Linked DNA regions of Arabidopsis thaliana. The protein of the gene in region 1 interacts with the protein of each later gene in a pairwise test. Each region holds a gene or a part of one and is shown in the gene's direction. Other genes may lie near its edges.

Region 1 (3,362 bases):
GTCGCTGCAACTAACATAGACCGTACCTTTTATGCAGACATGACTTTTGGAAATAACATTACCATAATTGTATGTGAAATGTTTTTTCAGGTCTTTTCACCATCGGGTTTCACTAGTCTTGGAAACTTACTCTTTTCCCTTAAAAACTGTTTCAGGGTCAAGCTCAATATACAGGTAAGGAAGTATCTGCTGGTTTAGTTTACATTGAACACTATAAAACCGACACCTCTAGCATGCTGGGAAAAGTTGTCCTGACGTTTGTGAAAGAAGATTGGGAAATGGCAAGCGCATTGGCGACTACAACTATCAACAAGGCGGCGGGGCTGATCGTGGCACGAAGTGGTGATTATCAAAGTGATATTGTCTATAATCAACCATTCATCTACGTAGACTATGAAGTCGGAGCTAAGATTCTACGATACATCCGCTCGTCAAGGTATACTATCCTTTATTTTATATTTTTTGTGATTGATCATCCTTCCGAGTCACATAGAGTATGTAAAACTGATCATCTTCTTATGGCTTGCGGTCTCTTCAGTTCTCCCACGATTAAAATTAGTACTGGTAAAACGCTCGTAGGACGTCCTATTGCGACTCAAGTTTGCGGATTCTCATCTAGAGGGCCTAATGGACTCTCTCCTGCCATTCTCAAGGTTCTTTCCCTAAACAGTGTTTCAAAATCTTGTCTGTCGTTTCCAATTTAAGGATCACCTGTTAATGATGGAAATTTCTTTGGGTTTATAAATGATGCAGCCTGATATAGCAGCCCCTGGTGTGACGATTTTAGGAGCTACATCTCAAGCCTACCCCGATTCTTTCGGCGGTTATTTTCTAGGCACAGGGACATCCTATGCCACTCCCGTTGTTGCGGGGCTCGTCGTACTACTCAAAGCTTTACACCCTGACTGGTCTCCTGCTGCGCTAAAATCTGCTATTATGACTACAGGTTCTTGAAAATGGAAAACCACTTTCTTCTCCTCACCAGAAAACCACCATTCGTTAATTTAATCTTACCAGAGTTTCTTCTCTTGTTATTATAGCATGGAAGACTGATCCATCCGGGGAACCAATCTTTGCGGAGGGAGAACCACGGAAACTGGCTGATCCATTTGACTACGGTGCAGGACTCGTGAACGCGGAAAGAGCCAAAGATCCAGGACTAGTTTATGACATGAACATCGACGATTACATTCACTATTTCTGCGCCACTGGTTACAACGATACATCAATCACTATAATCACGGGAAAACCCACAAAATGCTCGTCTCCATTACCGTCTATCCTCGATCTTAACTATCCCGCCATCACGATTCCCGACCTTGAAGAAGAAGTGACCGTCACAAGAACGGTGACTAACGTTGGACCTGTGGACTCAGTTTACAGAGCCGTGGTCGAGCCTCCGCGAGGTGTGGAGATTGTTGTTGAACCAGAGACTCTAGTGTTCTGTTCGAACACGAAGAAACTTGGGTTTAAAGTTAGGGTTTCGTCGAGTCATAAGAGTAACACTGGTTTTTTCTTTGGTAGTTTCACTTGGACTGATGGGACTCGAAATGTTACCATTCCTTTGTCTGTAAGGATTCGTGTTTTGAACCCTTGAATAAGAAGATTCCTCAATTCGTCATAAATTGTTTTTTCTCTCTATAATGAAAACAAAAATTGTTATTTTAGTCTCTGTATTTGACTCTAACTGAAATCACATTCACTTAATAACAAACTGAGACTAAGATTCTCTCTTTTATTCTCTCTCCACTAACAGACTTCTATCTACATGAGAAGCAACTATATAACTCATGTCTTTTACCACCATTACATAAATAAGAATATAAACACTTTTGTCTGAAAAATTATCAAAGAAGAAGAAATAAATGGGTGGAGGAAGCAGATTTCAAGAACCAGTGAGGATGAGCCGTAGGAAACAAGTAACAAAAGAGAAGGAAGAAGATGAAAACTTCAAATCTCCAAATCTTGAAGCAGAGAGACGTAGAAGAGAGAAGCTTCATTGTCGGCTTATGGCTCTGCGATCTCATGTCCCCATTGTCACCAACGTAAGTCCCAAATCTCGATTATTATTTTATGGGTATTTTGGTGATGATTGTTGTTGTTTTTGTTTCGTTTTCAGATGACTAAAGCAAGTATTGTTGAAGATGCGATTACTTACATAGGAGAGCTTCAAAACAATGTTAAGAATCTCTTAGAGACATTTCATGAAATGGAAGAAGCTCCTCCTGAGATTGATGAAGAACAAACGGATCCAATGATAAAACCTGAAGTTGAAACTAGTGATCTTAACGAAGAGATGAAGAAACTCGGAATCGAGGTTTTTAAAATTTCTCTAATCGATTTTTGATTCATTTTCTTTATCTTTCTTGATGATTTTTTATTTTTGGGACAGGAGAATGTGCAATTGTGTAAGATTGGGGAGAGGAAGTTTTGGTTAAAGATCATAACAGAGAAGAGAGATGGGATCTTTACTAAATTCATGGAGGTTATGAGATTTCTCGGATTCGAGATTATCGATATTAGTCTAACAACTTCAAATGGAGCAATTCTTATTAGTGCCTCTGTTCAGACACAGGAACTCTGTGATGTTGAACAGACAAAAGATTTTCTTTTGGAAGTTATGAGAAGCAATCCATAAGTATTAATTATATACATCTTGGAAATTTCTTGATCTAATAACATTTCCATTGGTTTTTATTACATTGTTGTTCCATTTTAAATATGATATGATTCAGATGAAAAAGAGTTTGTGTTACAAGCCAATGAGCTTCTTCTTGTCTTCATATATGTTGCTGCAAAATGTTCATGATCCTCTGTTTGAGGTCAAAGAAAGAAAACACTAGATATTATCTCTAGGATCCGAGCAATGGGGGTTTCTTTTTAAAATGGGCTTAGAATGAATTAGCTCTTAAATGGGCCATTCTCAAGTTGAGCCCATTTAATTTCAACCATCCAAATGGTGAGTAGTGAATAGTGATGTTCATTTGTGTAAGGTTGGAAGTTGGTAGAAACCTAAGTTTTTTTATTCAAATATCAAAACTATTCAATAGAGCCAAAATCAAAAGACATTTTCCTAACCTATTAACTATTTTTTTATAAAAATAATAATATACCTTTATCATCTCTGACTTTCCCTACTCCACGACATATTTGATTAACAATATAAAATAATTTATAGTTTCCACTCTCAATGAAATAAAACGATGGACCGTTTCCTCATGTCAAATGAATCAAATCAACAATCTCTATATAGTCTTAAGAATGTTGGTCTTAAAATTCTATTGAACTCAAATCGTATGAAAACAAGTTAAATTGTATATAAACAGAAAAACCAGTGAAGGTTGATTAATTAATAATTTACT
Region 2 (5,049 bases), on another chromosome or scaffold:
TATAACATATGCTTAAATATATTCTCAACATATTTTTTTGCCATCCTTAACACTTAAACTTCCAAATGATATAAAATTGATATTTTATTGAATATTATAATACACATGTTCTTTAAGAAAAAAAAGATATCAAAATTACCAACAAAGCTTATAATTAAAAATTGTACTAGCTGAGTCATAAAATTCTTTATTTTAGTTCTGTTTTCCAACTATTTATACCGTAAATATGTCAGAAGAAAATCATATAAAAAATTTGGAGTGGTGTTGTAACAATACTAAACTTTAGGATGTAACTGGTATGTAATCTACTATCTTTTCCAACCAATCGAGTTTGAAGAGGTAGAAACCCACCCTAAAACTCACAATTCATAGATAGTATAATTCTAATAATATAATCTATTTTCTTCTTCTATTATGAAAAGTGATTTATATCACTTCTCCTATTATTAGATTTGTAGTTATAAAAAAAAAAATATTGGTTCCACAATAAGTAATTCTACCTGCAACATACTTTTTTTTAACCAATATATACCTTTCATTAAACAAGAAACCGAATACAAAGTCCTGCCTCCTATAATGAATAACACCTACAACATAACAAGCAAACAGAGCACATTATGAATTACAAAGAGCAAAGCAAGTTGCTAGAAATGAGATTCCATGGAGGCCTAATCTTTGAGCTCTTGACAAAGGATCTAAATGACACCGAATGATGTTTTTAATCTCCATAACGAGATTGTGTAGCAGAGAGTGTCTTTCTTTACAGATGATATACATAGAGGCTTGGTAAGCAAGTCGAATTTACTAATCAACAACAACAACATACTAATCAAATATCCTAAAATGTGTTTATTACTTATTAAAAATTTGATTCTTCCGGAATCGAATTTAAAATCCATCATACAAGCATTAAACTCTTGATCAATGTGCATGGGTAGATCTATGCAAAGCACATAATATAACTATTGAAGACTGAAGAGGAACATGCGTGTAGATATGTATTCAGATGAAGAAACTTACGTCCGACTATGGGAGTGGTTTGTTACGTAATCATGAATTTCAGCTTCATGAAAGGTGGACAGTTGGGTCTATGGATATTTATTAGGAGACAAAGCTAGCTCAGCTTTTGCTAGTTGCTACGCATAACAATATTTATTTGTCGTTTATTCTCAACTCAAATATTTGCATATGTCTTCACACAATTATTTCTGTAAATTTTTATCACTCTATAACATATTTTACGTCGGAACTAAAGAATCAAGGAAAACTAAAATCGAATAATAAGAAAATGACAAAGAAGGGAAAATAAATAGTAGTTGAGACACCGAAAGAAGAATGAATAACCTAAACGCAACGAAGAGAAGCTCTCAACAAAGTTAGTTAGGGTTTTACACGTTATCTTAGCTCATGCAATCTGCCCCTTTCATCATTCTAATTCTTTTTATAATATATACTTTTTATACTAATGTGTTTAGTTACATTCCACATATATTATACAAAAAATATAAAAGTAAATACATACATATACATGATCGTCATGCATGTCCTGCACTTAACCTACCAAAAACAATCTCTCCTAATAAGAGAGAAGAAAGAAAAAAAATTATAACTCAGATATTTTCACACATATATAAATAAAGTTTTGTGGTGACGTTATTTTACACGAAAAAGCTCAACCTTGTATGGAAGTAATTAGCTGCTACCTATTACTGATTATTCTTCTTCTTCTTCTTTCTTCCAATTTCTTGTCTTCTTTTGGTACAATTTCTTGGCTTTCTCTTGTCAAGTTTTCACCAGTCACAAGATTTTTGAGGAGCCTTGTTTTTTCCGAGAATCTTGTGTAAGTTCTTGTTGGCATATTTTCCTCATGATATTTTAGCTCTATCATCATGAAAAATTATACATTTTGTCCCCTCTAGTTATTGTTTCTAATCTCTTTTTTTTGTTACTAACAAATCCATTAAATATTGACGCAATAGATTTGTGCTTTTGTCAGTAATCATATTGAGAGATTAATGGAGAGTAATATGCAAAACTTGTTGGAGAAATTGAGGCCTCTTGTGGGTGCAAGGGCTTGGGATTATTGTGTTCTTTGGAGACTAAACGAAGACCAAAGGTTGATTTGATTCTTTTAATAAGTAGTTAAGCTTTAAAGAGTTTTTATCTCTATCTATCCATCTTTCTTTCTCTTTCGTCACAAATATTTGTTATTGTGGTTTTGGAGGAGACAGGTTTGTGAAGTGGATGGGATGTTGTTGTGGTGGGACAGAACTCATAGCGGAGAATGGAACAGAAGAGTTTAGCTACGGAGGTTGTAGGGATGTTATGTTTCATCATCCTCGGACCAAATCTTGTGAATTTCTTTCCCATCTTCCAGCTTCCATACCTCTTGATTCCGGGTATGATCATCTATAATATATATACAAGCTACATATATTCTTTCATAAGAAACGCCTAGAGATGGAAAAATATGGATTTTGCTATAGGATATATGCGGAGACTCTTCTGACTAACCAGACTGGTTGGTTGAGTGAGAGCTCAGAACCAAGTTTTATGCAGGTACTATTACCCGATTCTTGGAGTTTTGAGTAATCACAATCTCATGAACAAGAAGTATTAATTTTCGGTTTTTCTTATATCCTGTAGGAAACAATCTGTACTAGGGTTTTGATTCCTATACCGGGAGGACTAGTGGAGCTCTTTGCGACCAGACATGTATGTTTATGTCTCAATAATGTTAAGTTTATGGTTTTTTGTATTGTGGTTGTTTGTGATGATGTGTGCGCGTATAGGTCGCTGAAGATCAGAACGTGGTGGATTTTGTAATGGGACATTGCAACATGTTGATGGACGATTCTGTAACGATAAACATGATGGTAGCAGACGAGGTCGAATCGAAGCCGTACGGGATGTTATCCGGTGACATCCAGCAAAAGGGTTCCAAAGAAGAAGATATGATGAATCTCCCTTCGTCTTACGATATCTCTGCTGATCAGATCCGACTCAATTTCTTGCCTCAGATGAGTGATTACGAGACACAACACTTGAAGATGAAGAGTGATTATCATCATCAAGCCTTGGGGTATCTCCCAGAGAATGGTAACAAGGAAATGATGGGTATGAACCCATTTAACACGGTGGAAGAAGATGGGATTCCAGTGATTGGAGAGCCTAGCTTGCTTGTGAATGAACAGCAAGTTGTTAACGATAAGGATATGAATGAGAACGGTAGGGTGGATTCAGGGTCGGATTGCAGCGACCAGATTGATGATGAAGATGATCCAAAGTACAAGAAGAAGTCAGGAAAAGGATCTCAAGCCAAGAACCTGATGGCTGAGAGACGGAGGAGGAAGAAGCTAAACGATAGGCTTTATGCTCTCCGGTCGCTTGTTCCCAGGATAACCAAGGTATCTTGGTTTTCGTCTCTGGGTTTACTTCTTGGTTTCTGAGTTATAATGCGTTCTCTGAAACTAGTTTTTGTGGCATGGAAGTTGGACAGGGCGTCGATTCTTGGCGATGCAATCAACTACGTTAAGGAGTTGCAGAATGAGGCAAAGGAGCTTCAAGACGAGCTTGAAGAGAACTCAGAGACTGAGGATGGATCTAATAGGCCACAAGGAGGGATGAGCCTGAACGGGACAGTGGTCACTGGGTTTCACCCGGGGCTTTCATGTAACTCCAACGTTCCTAGCGTGAAGCAAGATGTTGATCTTGAGAATTCCAATGATAAAGGACAAGAAATGGAGGTTAGAGCATCATAACAAGAAACTAACTCTCACCTTTCTTCTAATCTGAACTCTAAAATCAAAACCTCATGATATCGGTTTATGTTGGGTTGCGGAGTTTCAGCCACAGGTGGACGTGGCTCAGTTAGATGGCAGAGAGTTTTTCGTAAAGGTGATTTGCGAATACAAACCAGGAGGCTTCACAAGGCTAATGGAGGCACTGGATTCTCTTGGACTAGAAGTCACAAATGCTAACACGACTCGCTACCTCAGCCTGGTCTCCAATGTCTTCAAAGTCGAGGTATGATCTAAAGGACCTGCGGAATGGAGAAACAAAAACCAAAGCAAAATATACAAAAACTATATGTTTCTGTTTTCCCATGTTACAGAAAAATGATAACGAGATGGTCCAAGCTGAACACGTAAGGAACTCGTTGCTGGAAATAACCCGGAACACATCTAGAGGATGGCAAGATGATCAGATGGCTACAGGCTCTATGCAAAACGAAAAGAACGAAGTTGATTATCAACACTATGATGATCACCAGCATCACAATGGTCATCATCACCCATTTGATCACCAGATGAATCAGAGCGCTCATCATCATCACCACCACCAACACATCAACCATTACCACAACCAATAAGGACCAATTCCCCAAAGCTATAAAGATGTCTGCTTTACAAGCAAAAGAAACATTCTGCATCAACAAACTTTGAAGATCTTTTCATTTCAAGATATATAAGGATAAAAGGAATGTCAGTTCGAGAACAGTTCCTGTATCCAATACCAGGAATAAACCAAAGCGAAACAACTTTACTTAAATAATCTTTGTTAGAAAAGTAATTTGACAACCCATGACAAAAGAAACAGGTGTTGAAGTGCACCCCTAAAACTTTTAAGTAGGCCCCAAAACATGACCAACCAAAACAAATTCATTTGTCGATATTGTTCGACCAGATGGGGTTACAACTTAGTATCGCTTAATTCTTGTATAACTCCAAAAAAACTCTACTACACACGTTTCAGAAATATCTGAATTTGAAACTTGTAATAGTAAAGAAGCCGCAAACCTTCACTTGGTTCATTGGCAACGATCGGTGTATCCAGCTCCTTTTAGGATTGTGTTATTGCTGCTGCAGATGCTGGAATTCATTGCAGTCAGCTCCTACCTCGCTCAGTGCTGAGAAAAGCTTTGGTGCTATCTTAGCCAGCATAAGCTTAAAACCAACTGAAGTTGAATTAGCGCTGCTGCGTTCATCGATAACCGAGGCATCTTTGGTGAGGGAACCTATGAGATATCCTTTCATGTAGGCGTCACAT

The links.
Region 2: the proteins of DYT1 (region 1) and AMS interact in a two-hybrid assay, tested with the Arabidopsis thaliana proteins (one study listed by BioGRID).

Annotation. Positions count from the first base shown.
Region 1 is NC_003075.7:11,348,057-11,351,418, forward strand, and holds DYT1 (basic helix-loop-helix (bHLH) DNA-binding superfamily protein), read left to right. Parts: upstream 1-1,865; coding exon 1,866-2,045; intron 2,046-2,119; coding exon 2,120-2,317; intron 2,318-2,392; coding exon 2,393-2,638; downstream 2,639-3,362. UniProt on the Arabidopsis thaliana protein: Transcription factor. Involved in the control of tapetum development. Required for male fertility and pollen differentiation, especially during callose deposition.
Region 2 is NC_003071.7:7,329,706-7,334,754, forward strand, and holds AMS (basic helix-loop-helix (bHLH) DNA-binding superfamily protein), read left to right. Parts: upstream 1-2,015; coding exon 2,016-2,116; intron 2,117-2,231; coding exon 2,232-2,399; intron 2,400-2,486; coding exon 2,487-2,559; intron 2,560-2,646; coding exon 2,647-2,715; intron 2,716-2,792; coding exon 2,793-3,407; intron 3,408-3,491; coding exon 3,492-3,746; intron 3,747-3,779; exon of another isoform or gene 3,780-3,849; coding exon 3,850-4,026; exon of another isoform or gene 4,027-4,105; intron 4,106-4,114; coding exon 4,115-4,372; 3' UTR 4,373-4,549; downstream 4,550-5,049. Other genes in the region: UBC23 (ubiquitin-conjugating enzyme 23), read right to left, coding at 4,854-5,049. UniProt on the Arabidopsis thaliana protein: Transcription factor. Plays a crucial role in tapetum development. Required for male fertility and pollen differentiation, especially during the post-meiotic transcriptional regulation of microspore development within the developing anther.